Alligator mississippiensis: one gene and its partner. Each later gene encodes a partner of the first gene's protein in a complex. Links are inferred from orthologs where the notes say so. Each region holds a gene or a part of one and is shown on either strand. Other genes may lie near its edges.

Region 1 (7,962 bases):
GTTTCATTAACTCCATGACACTGGCACACACAACGCAGGCCAAGAGGTGGATCGCACAGACCCTGCCTCATCAAGTAGGACTTGCTTTTTTTTAAATGCAAAGAACAAGATCATCCCCTGGTAGCATGCAGAGGAGGAAACTTCTCCCCCCTGATAGTACACAGAGGAGGAAACCCTCCCCCCAGCACACAGAGGAAGAAACCTCTCCCCCTCACCATGTGCGGCTGAGCACATGGTGCTGCTCCTAGGGCATACAGCAGCAGGCATGGCGGGGATGACCAGAAGAGTTCAAAGGGGTCTTGGGGGTCCTTCCCCCTCCCTGAAGCATGAGAAAAGGAAGAAGGGGATGGTGACTCCAAGGGCCAGGTATCCACTGCCCCATGTGAAGGGCAGCCCCTGGGAAATACTGTGAAACAAGCAGCCGTTTTGTATCAGCGAGGCTGGCAGCTGTCCCAGATGCCGTTATTTTATTGCCCCTACGCCCTCTTTGTGCCACGGGAGGGGGAAGCTTGGGGCCCTGTGTCTGCTGCCTGCCTGCTTTCCAAGCTCTTCACATCACTGTGGTGCCTGGCCTCTGGTGCCTGTGGTTCTGGCCTAGCCGCCTCACCTGATACCCGCAGGATGACGTCTGCCTGCTGATTGAAATGTCCCACATTGGCCCAGAGGGAGCAGCGATAAGTGCCAGCGTCCTCTGGCCGGACCTTAGGAATGACCAGCGACTGCTGCTCGTCCATCAGGAACAGCCGCTGGATCTTGTCATACACCGTTGTCCTGTTCTTGAGGTTCCGAATCAGCCCCGTTTCCTGACTGTTGTTGATGACCTGCACGCAGCAACAGGATCCCGTTAGTGCATCGGGGCGCGTGGCACAGCCCGGCATACTGGGCCGCTGGTTAAATTAGGGCAGAACAGACCAACTCCCATTGCTGGGCATTAACATCTTCTCATGCATCTGCCTGTGGCATTGCCTTACGCTCACCCAGCCACGCAGCACATGTAAACCGGGCAGAGGGGCTCCCAGCACGCAGCAGCCAGCACTTCTCACAGAGCCAGCTGGGATAAGGCAGCAGGCAGTGCCGCGGGGGTCTCTGCACCCATGCACCCATAATCCCAACTGTCCATAGCCACTGAAACAAATAGAAGGAGCCCTGGATACCCCTCTCCCCCTCCAGCCAGTCCCCATGTGCACTGGCCCATGTAAACGAGCTGTGCTGCAGTTTAGAAAAGCGCTGGCTCTTCCGAGTGGTTGAGGACACGTGCTGCCTCTCTGGGAGGGCACTACCTTGTACCAGCCGCTGGCCCAGAAGTTCTGCATCCCTTTGACAGCAGGAGGGCAAGGGAGGACTGCTGCTGCCCCGCACTGGCTGTCCATGGACACTGCTGCCACTGCTGGTCTTTGCAGGAGGAGGCACAGGCAGCCAAGAGCTGGAAGTGGGAAGAGAGACTCAGTTAGGAGCGCAGCCTCGAATCCAGGAAAGGCTCCCCACCCACCCCCTCCAAGAGTGAGCTCTGCACACAGGCTGCAGTCCCCACCGGAGGATGCTGTGCACCGCGGAGAGGGGCAGGCGTCGTTGCAGGTTCTAGCACCTCCACCCTCTGTGGTGGTGCTGGCACTGCCGAGCTCCAAGCCTTGGGCTGAGGTTTCACAGAGCTGTGAGAAGGTTCCTGCTGCCACTCCGGGTTGTTTTGAATCATTTTCAAGAGACAGTTGACCTTTAAAGCCCCTTGGTGCAAGCTAAACAAGGCTCTGGAGCAGCCCACGACTGCTGCACTGTAAGGCAGAGCCACCCACCTGTGCTCTCCAATCTGGGTGGCACCGGCCAGCCTGAGGGCCTAAAACAAGGTGTTACGTAAAGTAGCCTATTGCTCAGGTCCGGCACACCTGCTCTTCCTCCTGGGGCAGAGGCAGTGACACCACCGCTGAAAATCAGGATGCTCCAATTTCAGTACTGGACGCCAGGCCCCCTGAGCCGGCACATTTCAGCCTCTTCCTTCTGCCTGTACTTGCAGGTGTCCAATCTTACTGAAAGCTCCCCAGCTTTCACTGGGACAGCTCACCCCGTGGAGCCCCCTTCCCTGCCACAGGGCCAAGGCTTGGGGGCCCTTGGCTCAGCTCTGTTTGGGACTTTTCACCGAGTCTTGAATGCAGCCGGGTGCAGCTGATGTGCTGTTACTCAGGCCCGGTCCAACCTGAAAGGTTCTGCTAGCAAAGCTGCAGCACTTCGCTGTGCTAATGAATCACATCTGTGATCAGCGCAGCTCTGCCAGCCAGAGCACTAGCACGGTACTCTTTCACTAGCCCCAAACTCCTTTGGCTGGTACGGAAACCGCTGGAACAGCCAGAGAACTCTTCCCCAAGCTAAGCTGGACCCAGAAGGGTGACTTGCCAACGTAGCAGCGCAGGCAGCCTCTTCCCAACGCACACCGGGTTTAGTACCCCAAAACGTTCAAGAGCAGCAGCAGCAACGAGAGCTGTCACGGCCACGCTGTCCTCCGGACGGGCTCGCTCTGTTGCGCTGAACCCGTTCGCGTCCAGAGAGGAGCTCACGACACTGTTAGCAGACACAGTGGGCAATGAGCAAAGGGACCTGCTGCTCTGGCCGTGCTGGCCAACACCATCCAAGTACCTCCCGGGTTCTGCTGCGGTCCAGATACCGCCTCGGTGACCACGGTCCCGGAGCACCTTGCGACCGGTAAGCTGCTCGCCCTCCCTGTAGCCTCTGGGAGGTGGGAAAGCACTTCTGTCTCCTGCTTCCAGAAGGAGACCAAGGCCCAGAAAAACAAAGTTTAGGGCCGGAAATTGTATCTCAGAGCATCTGGCACTGAGCACAATGACACAGAGAACTGGGTGCCAACCCAGCTTTTGCTGGTGCCTTCAGGGCCAGCTCTTTGTCAGAGATGGAAAACTGTGACTTTCACTCCAAACTGGAACCTGAAACCTCACAGCTCCGTACACGCAGTCTCTGTATTATACTCTGCAGACTCTGCCCGCAGTTGGTGACCTTCTGCAAATGGTTTTTACAAAAAAGGATTGCGACACGGAAATGATCAATTAAGAAGATCAAAGGAGAACCGTGGTTCTCCATTCTCTTTCCTGCAGGCCTTCAACTGTTTGAAAACTGCTAGCATGCCCCCTTCAATCTCCTTTCCTCCACACTAAACAGCCTAGCTCTCTCAACCCTTCCTCACCTGGCTGCGTTTCAGCCTCTCTATCGTCTTTCTTGCTTGCTTCTGGATCCTCTGCGCTTTCTGCACATCCTTCCTAAAGGGACTCCGTCAAACTGAGCTCCTCAAAGTACTGAGACAATTTTGACTTCTAATCCTGCCCTCCTAAGTTTCTGCCGCCTCTAAAAGCTTGGTGTCATCTGGCATCTTCAGAGGCGTGCTCTGTCTTCCACCATCCAGGTCGTTCAGGAAAATACCGAATAGCATCAGACTAAGAAGAAACTCTCGCGATACAAGGCTCTTTTGGGCTACGTCCTTCCAGTCTGACAGCGAACAGGTGCTAACTGCTCTTCGACTATGGCTTTTCAATGTTATGGGCACAGCCAACATACAAACAATACGTGAACCAACAGTCATAGAGGAAATGCTCTCATTTAATTTGTTTTTAGAAATAAATGTACCCCCTCCCAAGTTGCAGCCCCCCCAGACAAGTAATAGCACTCTCCCTGGATCTTAACATCAAGTGCGTTCAGGGAGCGGTGCACAGTAGCGGCACGAGACCAAGACCTTTGGCTTCCTGAGAGACAGCCTGTCCCGTGTTTCTCTTCCCCAGCACCCAGGTGCCAGTGACAAGACGAGGAGGAAGTTACCAAGTGAATAAATTCCTGATGAGGACTCACCCAAGGGCAACATCTGCGCGGTCTGGGCGCGTGCAGGGGCCAGAGCTCCTGAGCCTCGAGCTTCCTGCTCTGCTGAATGGAAAGCAGTGGGCTTGTTTATGCGGAAAATGAAAGCTGGCTGTTGAAGACTGCGATACCCAGTGTGAAGTACCGCTGCGGGTGAGGAAACGGGTCACAGAGTCCTCAGCTTGTGTGAGCAATGCATGAGATTGGCACGTGGCACCGAAGGGGCGTGCGGGCTCCCCTCGCGTCCCCGCAGCCAGCTGTCTCCCGTTCGCGCTCGAGCATCCTCTTGCCTGCTTGTTCCGCCAGGCGCGCCCTGTCGCCCAGGCGGCCGACGCTCTCCCCTTCCTCCAACTGCTCCACAAAGCCCCGGTCCGCCTGAACCCGCCCAAGCGAGGAGGCTTTGGAAGTAAACTGCGCTTTGGAAACAGACTTTCCGATGACTCGGAGCCGGGCCGCGCCGGGCTGCCGACACCGGGCTGTTGCACGCAAAGGACCGATCCTGACCCAACCCAAGTCGGTGGCGACGGTCCCGCCCACTTCAATGGATACGGGCTCAAAACCTCATCCGGTGCATCAGTCCTTCCTATCGCCCGGGGGACCCGCCGCCTCTTCTCGAAGATCACAACACGCCTCGCTGACGGCGCGCTACATCTCGCCGGCCCTTTCCTCCCGCGCCCGCAAGGCCGGCGACGCTGCAGCGGGGAGATTAGACTGGCTCTCGACACACGCAGGCCGGCAGGTTTGGTCGTCGCATTATCTCCCAGGTGCCCCCGAAGACGAGGCTCGCCCACCCGAGTCCCCACCCTGTCTAACACGGCGCGATAACACGTCTCCAGGCCGGAGAGCAGACGTCGGGGGTGAGGCGGCACCTCTGGTGTCCCTCCGCGCCCGGCGAGGCGCCGAAAGAACCCAGCCTGGTCCCTCCCCCCCCCTGCGCGGCCAAGAGGTCAGCAGGAGGGGGGCGGGGCAAGGCGCAGGTGTGGGCGGGGCCGAGGGGGCGGGGCCCGCTGCCCCGCCCCTTCCCAAGATGGCGGCCCCGACGGCCCGTTGCCATGGCGGCGCGCCGCTCTTCCGGCGCCGCTCGATGACGTTGCCCGCAGACTCGGGGAGCGCCGCTTCCGGGTGCGACGGCCCGCGCCGCAGGCGGGATGGGGGCGGCCCGAGACCCCGAGCAGCCGCCGGGCCCGCCCGGGGACGAGGGCCCGCACGAGGGCGACGGGCAGCTCGTCAGCACGGTGAGACCCCACCCCCCCGGGCTGCCCCGCCGTGCCCCCCGGTCCTGGGCCCCGGGCTGCTCCTCCCCCCTCCATAGCCCCCCCGGAGCTGCCCCCCTCCGTATCCTCCTCAGTCCTGTCCCCCCTCCACACACCCCCCACCGGGGCTGCCCCCCTCCCCCCCCGCAGCCTGGGTCCTGGGGTCCTGCGCAAGCCCCCACCCGCCAGCTGTCCCCCCCCTATACCTCCCCCCAGCCTGCCCCCATCCATGCCCCCCCAGTCCTGGGCCCCAGTCTATTCCTCCCCCTCCATAGCCCCCCCCGGGCTGCCCCTCTTCATAGACTCACAGAAGTCGGGTGGGGCGGGACCTTGTAGATCTTCAGGTCCGACCCCTGCCTGGGCAGGAGAGAAACTGGGCTCAAGTGACCCCAGGCAGGTAGGCATCGAGCCGCTTCTTAAAGACCCCCAGGTAGGAGCCAACACCACTTCCCGTGGAAGTCGGTTCCAGATCCTAGCCGCCCTGACTGAAGTAGTTCCTACAGATGTCTAATCTGAACCTACTCTCCCACGACTTGTGGCCGTTACTCCTTGTTATCCAGCGGGGTGCTGGGGGAAACAAGGTCTCCCCCAAACCCTTCTGGTCCCCCCAGTGAGTTTATAGACAGTCACCAGATCCCCCTCAGCCTTCTCTTGTGAAGGCTGAACAGGTTCAGGTCCCGTAGCCTCTCATTGTAGGGTCTGCCCTGCTGTCCCCGGATCATGCAGGTGACCTCCTCTGGCCCCTCTCCATGCTGTCCACATCCCTCCTGAAGTGGGGCGCCCAGAACTGGACGCAGTACTCCAGCTGCGGCCTGACCAGTGTCGTGCAGAGGGGGAGGATCACCTCCTTGGCCCTACTTGAGATGCACCTGTGGATGCACGATAGGGTCCGGTTAGCCCTGCCGACCGTGACCTCGCGTTGTCGGCCCATGTTCATCTTGGAGTCAGTGATGACTGCAAGATCCCTTTCTGCCTCCGTGCTCTTGAGAAGGGGGTTTCCCATCTTATAAGTGTGCTGCCGGTTACTACTGCCCAAGTGCAGCACCCTGCACTTGTCCGTATTGAAACACATCCTGTTTTTGTTAGCCCACCCCTGCAACCTGTCCAGGTCTTGCTGCAGTCTTTCCCTCCCTACCAGCGTGCCCACCTCACCCCAGATTTTGGTATCATCAGGTCACAAATTTGAACAGGTTGCTTTTCACCCCGTCGTCTAAATCGCTGATAAAGAAATTGAACAGCACGGGCCCAAGGACCGAGCCCTGGGGGACTCCACTGCCCACTTCCCCCCAGGTCGAATATGACCCGTCCACCACCACCCTCTGAGTACGACCCTTCAGCCAATTAGCAATCCATCTGACTGTGCAGGCATCGATGCCACAGTCACCTAGTTTTTAATGAGGATGGGGTGGGAGACAGTGTCAAAGGCCTTGCTGAAGTCCAGAAAGACTACATCCACGGCCACACCTGCGTCCAGTGCTTTTGTGACCTGATCGTAAAAGGCAATCGGGTTGGTCTGACATGACCTGCCCCTAACAAAACCGTGCTGGTTGCCCCTCAGCATCATCCATATCCTCCCCAGTCCTGTCCTCTCTCTATACCTCCCCCCGGGGCTGCCCCCTCCATGCCCCCCCGGTCCTGGGCCCCAGTCTTCCTCCACCCTCCACAGACCCCCCCCCCGGAGCTGCCCCCCCAGTCCTGTCCGTCCACCCCCCCGGGGGCTGCCCCCCCTCCATATCCTCCCCAGTCCTGTCACCCCTCTATACCTCCCCCGGGGCTGCCCCCCTCCACACACCCCCCTCCAGGGCTGTTGTCGTCCCCCCGTCCGTCTGTCGTCGTTTCCCCCCCCCCCCCCCCAACGGTCTGGGTCTCAGAGTCCCGCGTGAGCCCCCACCCACCAGCTGTCCTCCTTCTATACCTCCCCCAGAGGCTGCCCCCCTCCCCCCACACAGCCTGGGTCTCAGGGTCCTGCGCGAGCCCCCACCCACTGGCTGTCCCCCCCGTCACCCCGCCGCAGCCTGGGTCTTGGGGTCCCACGCGAGCCCCCACCCATCGGCTGTCCCCCCTCTATACCTCCCCCTGGGGCTGCCCCCCTCCACACACCCCCAGGGCTGTCGTCCCTTCCCCCGCGGCCTGGGTCTTGGGGTCCCACGTGAGCCCCCACCTGCCGGCTGTCCCCGCAGAGCCCCTGGAACATCATGATCAAGCACCGGCAGGTGCAGCGGCGCGGGCGGCGCTCGCAGATGACCACCAGGTAAGTGCGGCCCCCATTGAGCCCAGGCCATGCCCCTGCTGCAGAGGAAGGCCACCCCCCCCATCCCCCCCCGTGCAGACCAGGTTGGGCAGGGGGAATCCCGTCCTGCCCCCCTGGGTTTGGAGCGGGGGCAAGACCCTCCAGCCTGGCCCCTGCAGGGTTGGTGCTGGCAGGAGCTTTGGCACCGCCCTGCCCCACCTAAAGACAGGCTTGGCCCGTGGCTGGGTCGGCGCTGTCGGGCTGCTGGCTCACTCCGGCTGGAAGGGGAGAGTCCTGATGCTGTCCTCAGCCTCTAGTGCAGGGGTACACAACATTTTTGTGCCTCGTTTCCAAAATACCTGCAACCTCAACTCGAGAGATGTTGGCGGGCCAGGGCAGATGGCGTGGGAGCTGCGAGGGTACAATCCTTGTAGCGGCATGGACCTGGCCCCTTCCCCACCCTCCGCCCAGAGGCACGTGTGCCAAGCAAAATGCCTTTGCGCGCCACACTCTGGTTCCCGTACCGGGGGTTCCCTATCCCTGCTCCAGCCCCTCGGGCACTGCTGACAGGTTGAGAAGGGAGCTGTATCGATCCCTTCTCTTAGCAGGCCAGGGTTTCAGAGCTGCTGG
Region 2 (7,404 bases), on another chromosome or scaffold:
TAACTTGAAGTGTCTTTTGTACCTTCGAAGCGTGTTTACTTGCAACTGATATAAGTCAACCTAGGAAAAAAGAAACAATGGCATTAAATCATCATTAAATATGGCAACTGAAATGAAGGCAGAAGACATGCAGTATGTACTGTCCTTCTGTTCCAAGCAGCCTTTAGTATTCCGCCCAAAATAACATTCTGAACTGCCCTCTGAAACAGACTTGGAGGTGAAATTAGTAGATCACTGGCACAGAACTTTTTCTTCCTGGAAACGGTAGAGATTGCATTGGGCACTCATTTCTTTTCCATCAGTGAAGTCATGAGTCTCTCTGGTGCAGTGCCCAGATTGGGGGTGGGGGGTGGCAAGGAGAGAGGAATAAAAACACCTTTGGGTTTTCTGGCACCGTCTAAACTGACAACTGTAGCTTTTAGAATGTGGGTCTGAACTAAGCCTCCTTTGCAGGAGCGGATGCGTTAAGCAGTACATTTGTCACTATTATTTTTTTTGTCCTTCACAAGAGTCGGCAGCAGATATCAGCTGTGGCAAGAACTGCTGATCCCATAAAACTTGAAAAAGAGAACTGGCTTGTTCAGGAACTGTGGTCCGCACGGTGCCAAAATTGCAGCCCTGGGATTCAAGAGGGTAACTGCAAAGATAATTGTGGGGAAGACTACAAAAAACAGTCTCTAGGAACTGAGATAAGACCTTACAGGACTCAGAATATTCCAGGACCTCAGACATCTTCACCAGAGGCTTAAAAAAAAAAAGTGTTTTCCTTCCTGTCAACCCAGAATTCTTTAGCAGAGTGCTGGCAGTGAAAAGGCCTTATGGACAAATGCATTACCGGGGAACTTGAAGGAACAAGTTCTGCAGCCAAATCTTAAAAATGCTATTTGAGATCTTTGATACCTCGAACAGGCAACCTACCCTCCAGCTTAGTGCACTTATCCAGGGCATATAAAAAAAAAAAAAAAGGGTATTTCATACCATCTGAAATGGGAAACAAAAAGGTGCATATACGTTTTAAACACCACTTTTGTATATGGGATGTGCCAGATCAAAGCAACCACTTCCCCAAAAACTGGAATGTAATAGTGGCACTACAGTACATACTTTTACATTTAAGATTTAACTCTACTATGCTTTTATGTATGACACATATCTATTCTAAGTGTTTTTTTAACAGAATGGAGCAACTTCTGACTGTTCTGTAGCCATCCTGGCAGGACGGGGGAAAAGCCAAGGGACAGTTAAAAGGTGATAAAACATTTTATACACCGAAAGTATAAATGCTGGGCTCATGGTTCAGTAACTGCCTGACTCCTGCTGAAAAATGGTTCTGCTACTATGTGGCTAAGCACGTAACTCCAATACTAGGGATCTGGGGAGAAAGGTAAAATATTTCAGAATCAAAACTGATTTACGATTTAGGTTAGGCTTTATTTCCAGGAGAAGTATGATGAATAAAATGGAGAAAACAAATATTCCTTATGTAAGCATCTTAGAATATATCATTCTAACATACACAATGAATACAGAAGCATAGCCATAAGAAATGTTATATTTTTGTGACTAAAGCATGACAATTAAGAATCAGTTTTACATGGCAACCACATAAATAACTAGGCAGGTACCTCTGGAGTGTCAATGTCTTGCACTGGCGAGTCACCATCATCATCACTGCCTTTTCTCTTTCTTCTGTTTCTCACGCTCTGAATTAAGTTTTTGTGAAAGTCACAAATATAAAGATGCCTTGCCTAAAATAAAATGAGAAAAAGCCATGTTTTCCACGATTATTTTGCCAGGGTTTGGACACGTGCGGTCACACACAGCAGCGGCAGAGCCATCGCCATGTCTCGTGGCCTGAACTCGGGGCGGAGGAGATCTGCTGGTCCCGGCCAGACCCCCCCCCCCCCCTCCTTTCCCCCTCCGCGCTGCAGCAACGAGCCGACTCCAGGGAGCAGCCGAGCCCAGCCCCCTCCCGCCATCAGCAGGAAAATGACTTCTCCGTCGTCATCTTTTTAAAAGCCGCCGATGTCTCCCCCTGGTCCTCGCCGCCCTCCCCGAGCCCCTGCCGGCGAAGCAGGCACTCTCCGCCGGGCCCGGGGGGTTTAACAAGCCGCGCTCAGGCCCGCAGCGGCGCGGATCGGCTGCAGTTTCACTTTCAGCGACTCCGGGACCGCAGCCTCCCCCCTCCTCCCCCCCGGGCTCTTCCAACGCGAAGTTTCCGCAGCTGAAACCTCCCGGCACCCCCCGCAGCAGCAGCAGTCACAGCAACAGCCCCCTTTGTGCCGCTCGGGAGGGGGCTCCCCGCGCTCCCCACCGCGGGGCTTTGTCTGGGGCCGGCGCGGCTCTACCCCATGGCGGCCGGGCGGCCCCCGCGGGGACAGGGCAAGCAGCTCCCCTGCGGCAGGCGGGCGCGCCAAGGGCAAGGACGCGGCGCCCGGGCCGGGGGCAGTGGCGGTGCCTGCGCCGCAGCCCCCCCGCCGCCGCCTCCCCCCCCGACCCCGGGCCCGCGGGCACTCACGCTCTTGTCCAGCTCGATCTTCACCTTCTTCTGCGAGATGCTCTTCTGGATGCGCTTGCTGAAGCTGGCGTTGCCGGCGGCCCGGCCGCAGCGCTCGCCCTCCTCGCGCAGGCAGCACAGCTGCCCGGCTCCGGGCCCCGCCGCGCCCGCCGGGCCCGCAGCGGCGGCGGCGGCAGCAGCAGCGGCAACCGCGGCGGCGTTAGCGCCCGCGACGGCCCCGGCCCCGGCTGCGGCCCCGAGAGGCGGCGGCGGCGGCGGCACTGGAGGCGGTGGCGGCGGCACCTCCACAGCGGAGCCCGCGCTGGCCCCGGCGGCGGCGGCGGCGGCGGCAGCAGCAGCAGCAGCGGCGGCGGCGGCTGCGGGGTCCCCCCCGCGCGGAGCCGCGTCCTCAGGCGCGAAGCCGTTCATGACCGCGCCGCCAGCGGCTGCGTCCTGCCCCTCAGTTCAGCCCCGCGGCGTCGCGCACGCCCCGCGCCCCTCTGTCATGTGCGGACTTTTCAGCTGTTTCCTCTGTAACAACAGCAACCCACCCGCCCTAGCGCGCATGCGCAACCCGCCGCCTACCGGGACCTGTAGTTGGCGCCGCGGCGCCCGCTCCGCCCGCGGGGAGGCCTGGGAAACTACCGCTCCCGGCGTGCCCCACGCGCGCTCCGCCGCCATTTTGCGGAGCGCGGCAAGGAACAAGACGGGGAGGGGTGGGGTTATTTTGGAGGTTGCGCTTGCCTCCCCACCCCCACCCCCTGCTCGCTGCAGAAGGGAGAGGGGACGCGGGCTTCTGGTCCCGTTCGCAACGCGCATGTGCGGGGAGTTCTGTGTTGCGGTGTTTGTCGTACAAAGGCTCGGAGCAGCCGTTAGGATTTGAAATGTGGCCGTTCGGAGGCCGCGGACCTGCGGCAGTTCCCCCCAGAGAGCGCCCGGGCCCTTCCCTTCCCTTCCCTCCCTCCTCCCGCTGCAGCGCTGCCCCAGCGGCCTCACCTGGGCCGGTAGGCCGGGCCTGGGGAAAAGGCGGGAGTGCTGGGCTAGTCTGACTGAGCACTGGCGAGCTGCTGTCTGCCCGAGAAGCTGGCAGCCTGGCGCTCCGTGACGGCCTTTCGCCCTGGGTCTTTTTTCAGCGTTTCCCCTGGCAGAGGACAGCGTCAGTTGGAGTAACTGGGCTCGCTCCCACCGCCCCGCTGCGGGGAGCTCCTGCCCCAGACAGTTCCCCCCGCCATACTTCCACACACACACACACACGATGAGTAAATCTGACCGACCATTTTTTTTCATGTGCTTGCTGTGAGGGAAAAGGCTAAGTGGGCTGAGTTCTAGCCTGTAGTTCATACTGGGAATATCTGGGGGGGAGGGGGTCATTGTGAGAAGGCTTTGTTATAAAGAAATCTTGTAAATAACCTCATAAGCAACCCACCTATATGTCCTTTTCACCCCAGTGGGGAGATAGCAGTCTAGACCTGGCAGCAGGGCCCAGAGACTGCTCCCTGATTGGTTCCTCGTGACTTTATTTTTCATTGTACTGGCTGAGTGGTGTGCCCAGGTAACCAGTTCTGTAACTTCTATTGAAGTGTGGCTGACTGGGCCTCAGGAGAAAGCGTGAGGCTCTGATAAAGCTCGATGGAGAAAGTCCCAGGGAAGACAGATTAGTGAGAAAAAGAAGAGTCTCAGGGAGGATGGAACAGAGTCAAAGGAAGAACAGGGGGAACTGGTGTGGCACAATAGAGACTGGCTGTTTCAGAGCAGAGATTGCTGTGCTGTTGGGACACATCATTCTGCTACCCCTCCTCTTTAAAAGAGCACTCCCACTTCCACCCCCCCCCCCCTTCATGGGAGCTGATGAAAAGGAAGGAGCTGTTGGAGGTGTGGGTGCTATTGATCACTGAGGAAGCGGGAGACTGAGAAGATCCAGGGTCTCCAAGTCAGAGGCTCTCCCCTGCTAGGGGCTGGCTTCTAGGGGTCCTCTCAAGACAGGGAGACCAAATAAGGCTGCTTCTTGGAGAGTTGCAAGGCAGAGCTCCCCCCTCCAACAAAAGGGCATTGATCTTATGACACCTGCAAAGCACATTTGCACTGGCGTTGGAGTGTTTTGTTTGTCAAATAACTTATTTGACAAACAAAATACTCCAACCTCCCTGCCCCTTTTGGTCAGCTATTCCTTTCAAGTTAAGACAGCGGGAAAGGCCATAGGCCAAAGAAAATGGTTTAATTTAATTGAAAACATTTCAATGTATGAATTATGGCCTATTCGAAGTTATAGAATCAAAATAGGGAGTGTGACAAAACCCAATAATTTAAGGAGATACGGGCTCAGTGCATTGCGCACTCAGGGGTTACAACGGTTTCAATTTCTACTTCTTAACCTGATTTTATAACCCAGTCTTACAGAGTATGGGTACAATCCCACATCAAACTTGCATCTGTGTTGTGATTCAGAGGGTCAGATTCAAACAAAAACTGAGGCATGTAAATCCAAAAGTGCAATCCACCTGCTTAACTGTTGTTTGAGACTGTGATGGTCCACAGTCTCAAGCTTTTGCTTGGTAGGCAGGTGCCTACGGTTTTGTTACTTCACATGCCCAGAGATGTACCAATACAAAGGATGTACAGAGGCTGAGCCAATATCACCAACGCCTATCACACATTTCAATCCACTTGAGACTCAAGGGTTCATTTCAAGAGGCCTACTCTGAGTACACTTACCCATAAATCACACCAAAAGCATTAAGTTCAGCACAAAGCAGAAGACACTTTCATGGTCCCAGAGGAACAGACTTGCACCTTCAGCTTCCTCTGTGCAAAAATGAAGTTTATTTTCTACCTATGGGGACTTTTTATCATCTTTTATTTTTCCTGAGCCTGAGGAAGGGCGTGTGTGCCAGAAAGCTTGCAGAAAAAGAGATTTTTTTAATGATTTCTTAGTTGGTCTAATAAAAGGTATCACCTCTGAACCAAGAGTTCTAGAGTTTTGCATTTCTAAGTCACAATCGCTTTCATTCAAAACCATAGCTGATGGTGGCGCCGCCTATCTTTTGCATAGACAAATGATTAGAACACAGCAATCAATCACTACTACACATTGCTATTAGATAGCATAGGAGCAAGAGATAGCCTTACCTTTAGCCAACTTAGAATGGATGCAGCAGCAAAAGTTAACCCAGGCTGTCTTTACACTGATAGTTTTAGCTCTGATTTGTTCAGTAGTTCAGGGATTCCCCCAGTTTAGCGGCTGCTGCTTTTTATAGGCAGGTAACCCTTTACCCTGGTTAAACATTTCATCTGTCTGTGCCGAGTCACATTCCTTCTTTCTTACTCTCTTGGGCCCTATGAATCCTGCATTCTTGGCTTCCAAGATAGTGTATTCAACACTGGATGACAGAGTCATGTGCTATCTTTTCATGGCCGTATGATGTTGCATTCCTTTTTATGCAACAGTCCTGCTTTAGCAGCAGGGGCAGAAGATTAGAGCACTCTCCTGGAGGTGAGAAAGATACCAGTAGATTTGAAACTCCTCAGGCTGTAAAGCAGTATAACTAGGTCTACCACTTCCTGGGTGCATGCTTAAACCACTAGGTATAATACAAAGGGTGGATTGTCATCATTGCCAGCTGTGTAAGAGTGATGAAAAAGTAAGCCAGTTACCTGCATCCAAAGGAAGAAATCAGTTGATAAGTGCATGAAGGCACTTTGCAGGAGAAGATTGATTCCAGAGATGTCCCCCTGTTCCACATTTCCTAATGGCTACCTTAGGTGTCCTCCCTGCTTGGCATACCAGCTGTTGTGAGTTGCAGTTATCTAAACTCTTCTCATCCCTTGTATAGGAACACAGGTATCCTAAAAGATATGTAAATTCTACACTTGGATCTGACTGCCTAAATGGCATGGCCATACCAAAATGATGCTGTGCCCAGTTCCCTTAGTAAGTGAATTTATATTAGGCATAAAGATATAGATGCCAGTTGCACAGAAGGGATATAACTAGGGACCTACTTAATCTGTGGTTTTGTGGAGTTTGCAGAAACAATGAAATCTGGGATAATCTACAAAATCAACATTAAAAAAATCTTAATAAAAATAAAATGCTGGCTCCCTCTGGGAGCCATTGGTTCCTGCTGCCTGAAGGGGAAAGTGCCAGCTGGTATGGTGGCAGGATAGGATGGTGGCTGCCCTCTTGTTCCTCCTCCCCACCCCGGGGCCTCTCTGCCAATCAGCACCAAGGGGCGGGGCCACCACACAATGCCCACAAAATCAGCTCTGTATGCTGCAAACAGGTTGTGAAAAACCCTTCCTCTCACTGCAACTTAAGTAGGTCCCTAGATATAACCCCAGGGCTCCAGAATCTACACTGGTTCCCAAGAGCTTTCTGGGTACAACTCATGGTACTAGTTTGATGGATAAAGCTCTAATCATTCTGGGCCCGATGTACCTTATGACTGTCTTATGCCCTATCACCAGGGATCCTGGTTTTCTCTGATTTAAAAAAAATCCCCAATTTTCAGATTAAAAAAAGTATTCCCAAATTCACATTTTCTCGTGATTAAAATGAAACACCACACACACACACATATATATACACATGTATATATAAGTGACTTTTTAAATCCGAAAATTAGGGATTTTTTTTAAAATCAGAGAAAAGCAGGATCCCTACCCATCACAATCCAAAAGGTCAGCTAAGATTAACCTTCTGTAAGCCTCTGACAAAGACATTGAATTACAGGCTCATATACTTACCTATATAAAGAAACAATCAGTATAAAAAAAATAACGTTTGAAGTCAAGCGTTATTAGGTCATGCATTGCTTTAAAGCCTTGATCTTGTAGGGGCCCTAGGGACTGTGCTAATGGGTACACAAGACTGGTAAAATTATTGCAGACATCAGGATCTAACTTGTGGT

The links. Proteins that work in one complex are often made in the same cells at the same time.
Region 2: deoxynucleotidyltransferase terminal-interacting protein 1 (region 1) and SAP30 share a complex: the UniProt entries of both Homo sapiens proteins name them as parts of the histone deacetylase complex. The link is inferred for Alligator mississippiensis from reciprocal best matches to the Homo sapiens genes DNTTIP1 and SAP30.

Annotation. Positions count from the first base shown.
Region 1 is NC_081832.1:636,184-644,145, reverse strand, and holds the start of deoxynucleotidyltransferase terminal-interacting protein 1, read left to right. Parts: upstream 1-4,946; 5' UTR 4,947-4,997; coding exon 4,998-5,084; intron 5,085-7,282; coding exon 7,283-7,353; intron 7,354-7,962. Other genes in the region: CD83 antigen, read right to left, coding at 608-821, 1,281-1,423, 3,844-3,856. UniProt on the Homo sapiens protein: Increases DNTT terminal deoxynucleotidyltransferase activity (in vitro). Also acts as a transcriptional regulator, binding to the consensus sequence 5'-GNTGCATG-3' following an AT-tract.
Region 2 is NC_081825.1:80,264,056-80,271,459, forward strand, and holds the start of SAP30 (histone deacetylase complex subunit SAP30), read right to left. Parts: upstream 3,014-7,404; 5' UTR 2,927-3,013; coding exon 2,519-2,926; intron 1,749-2,518; coding exon 1,626-1,748; intron 61-1,625; coding exon 1-60. UniProt on the Homo sapiens protein: Involved in the functional recruitment of the Sin3-histone deacetylase complex (HDAC) to a specific subset of N-CoR corepressor complexes. Capable of transcription repression by N-CoR.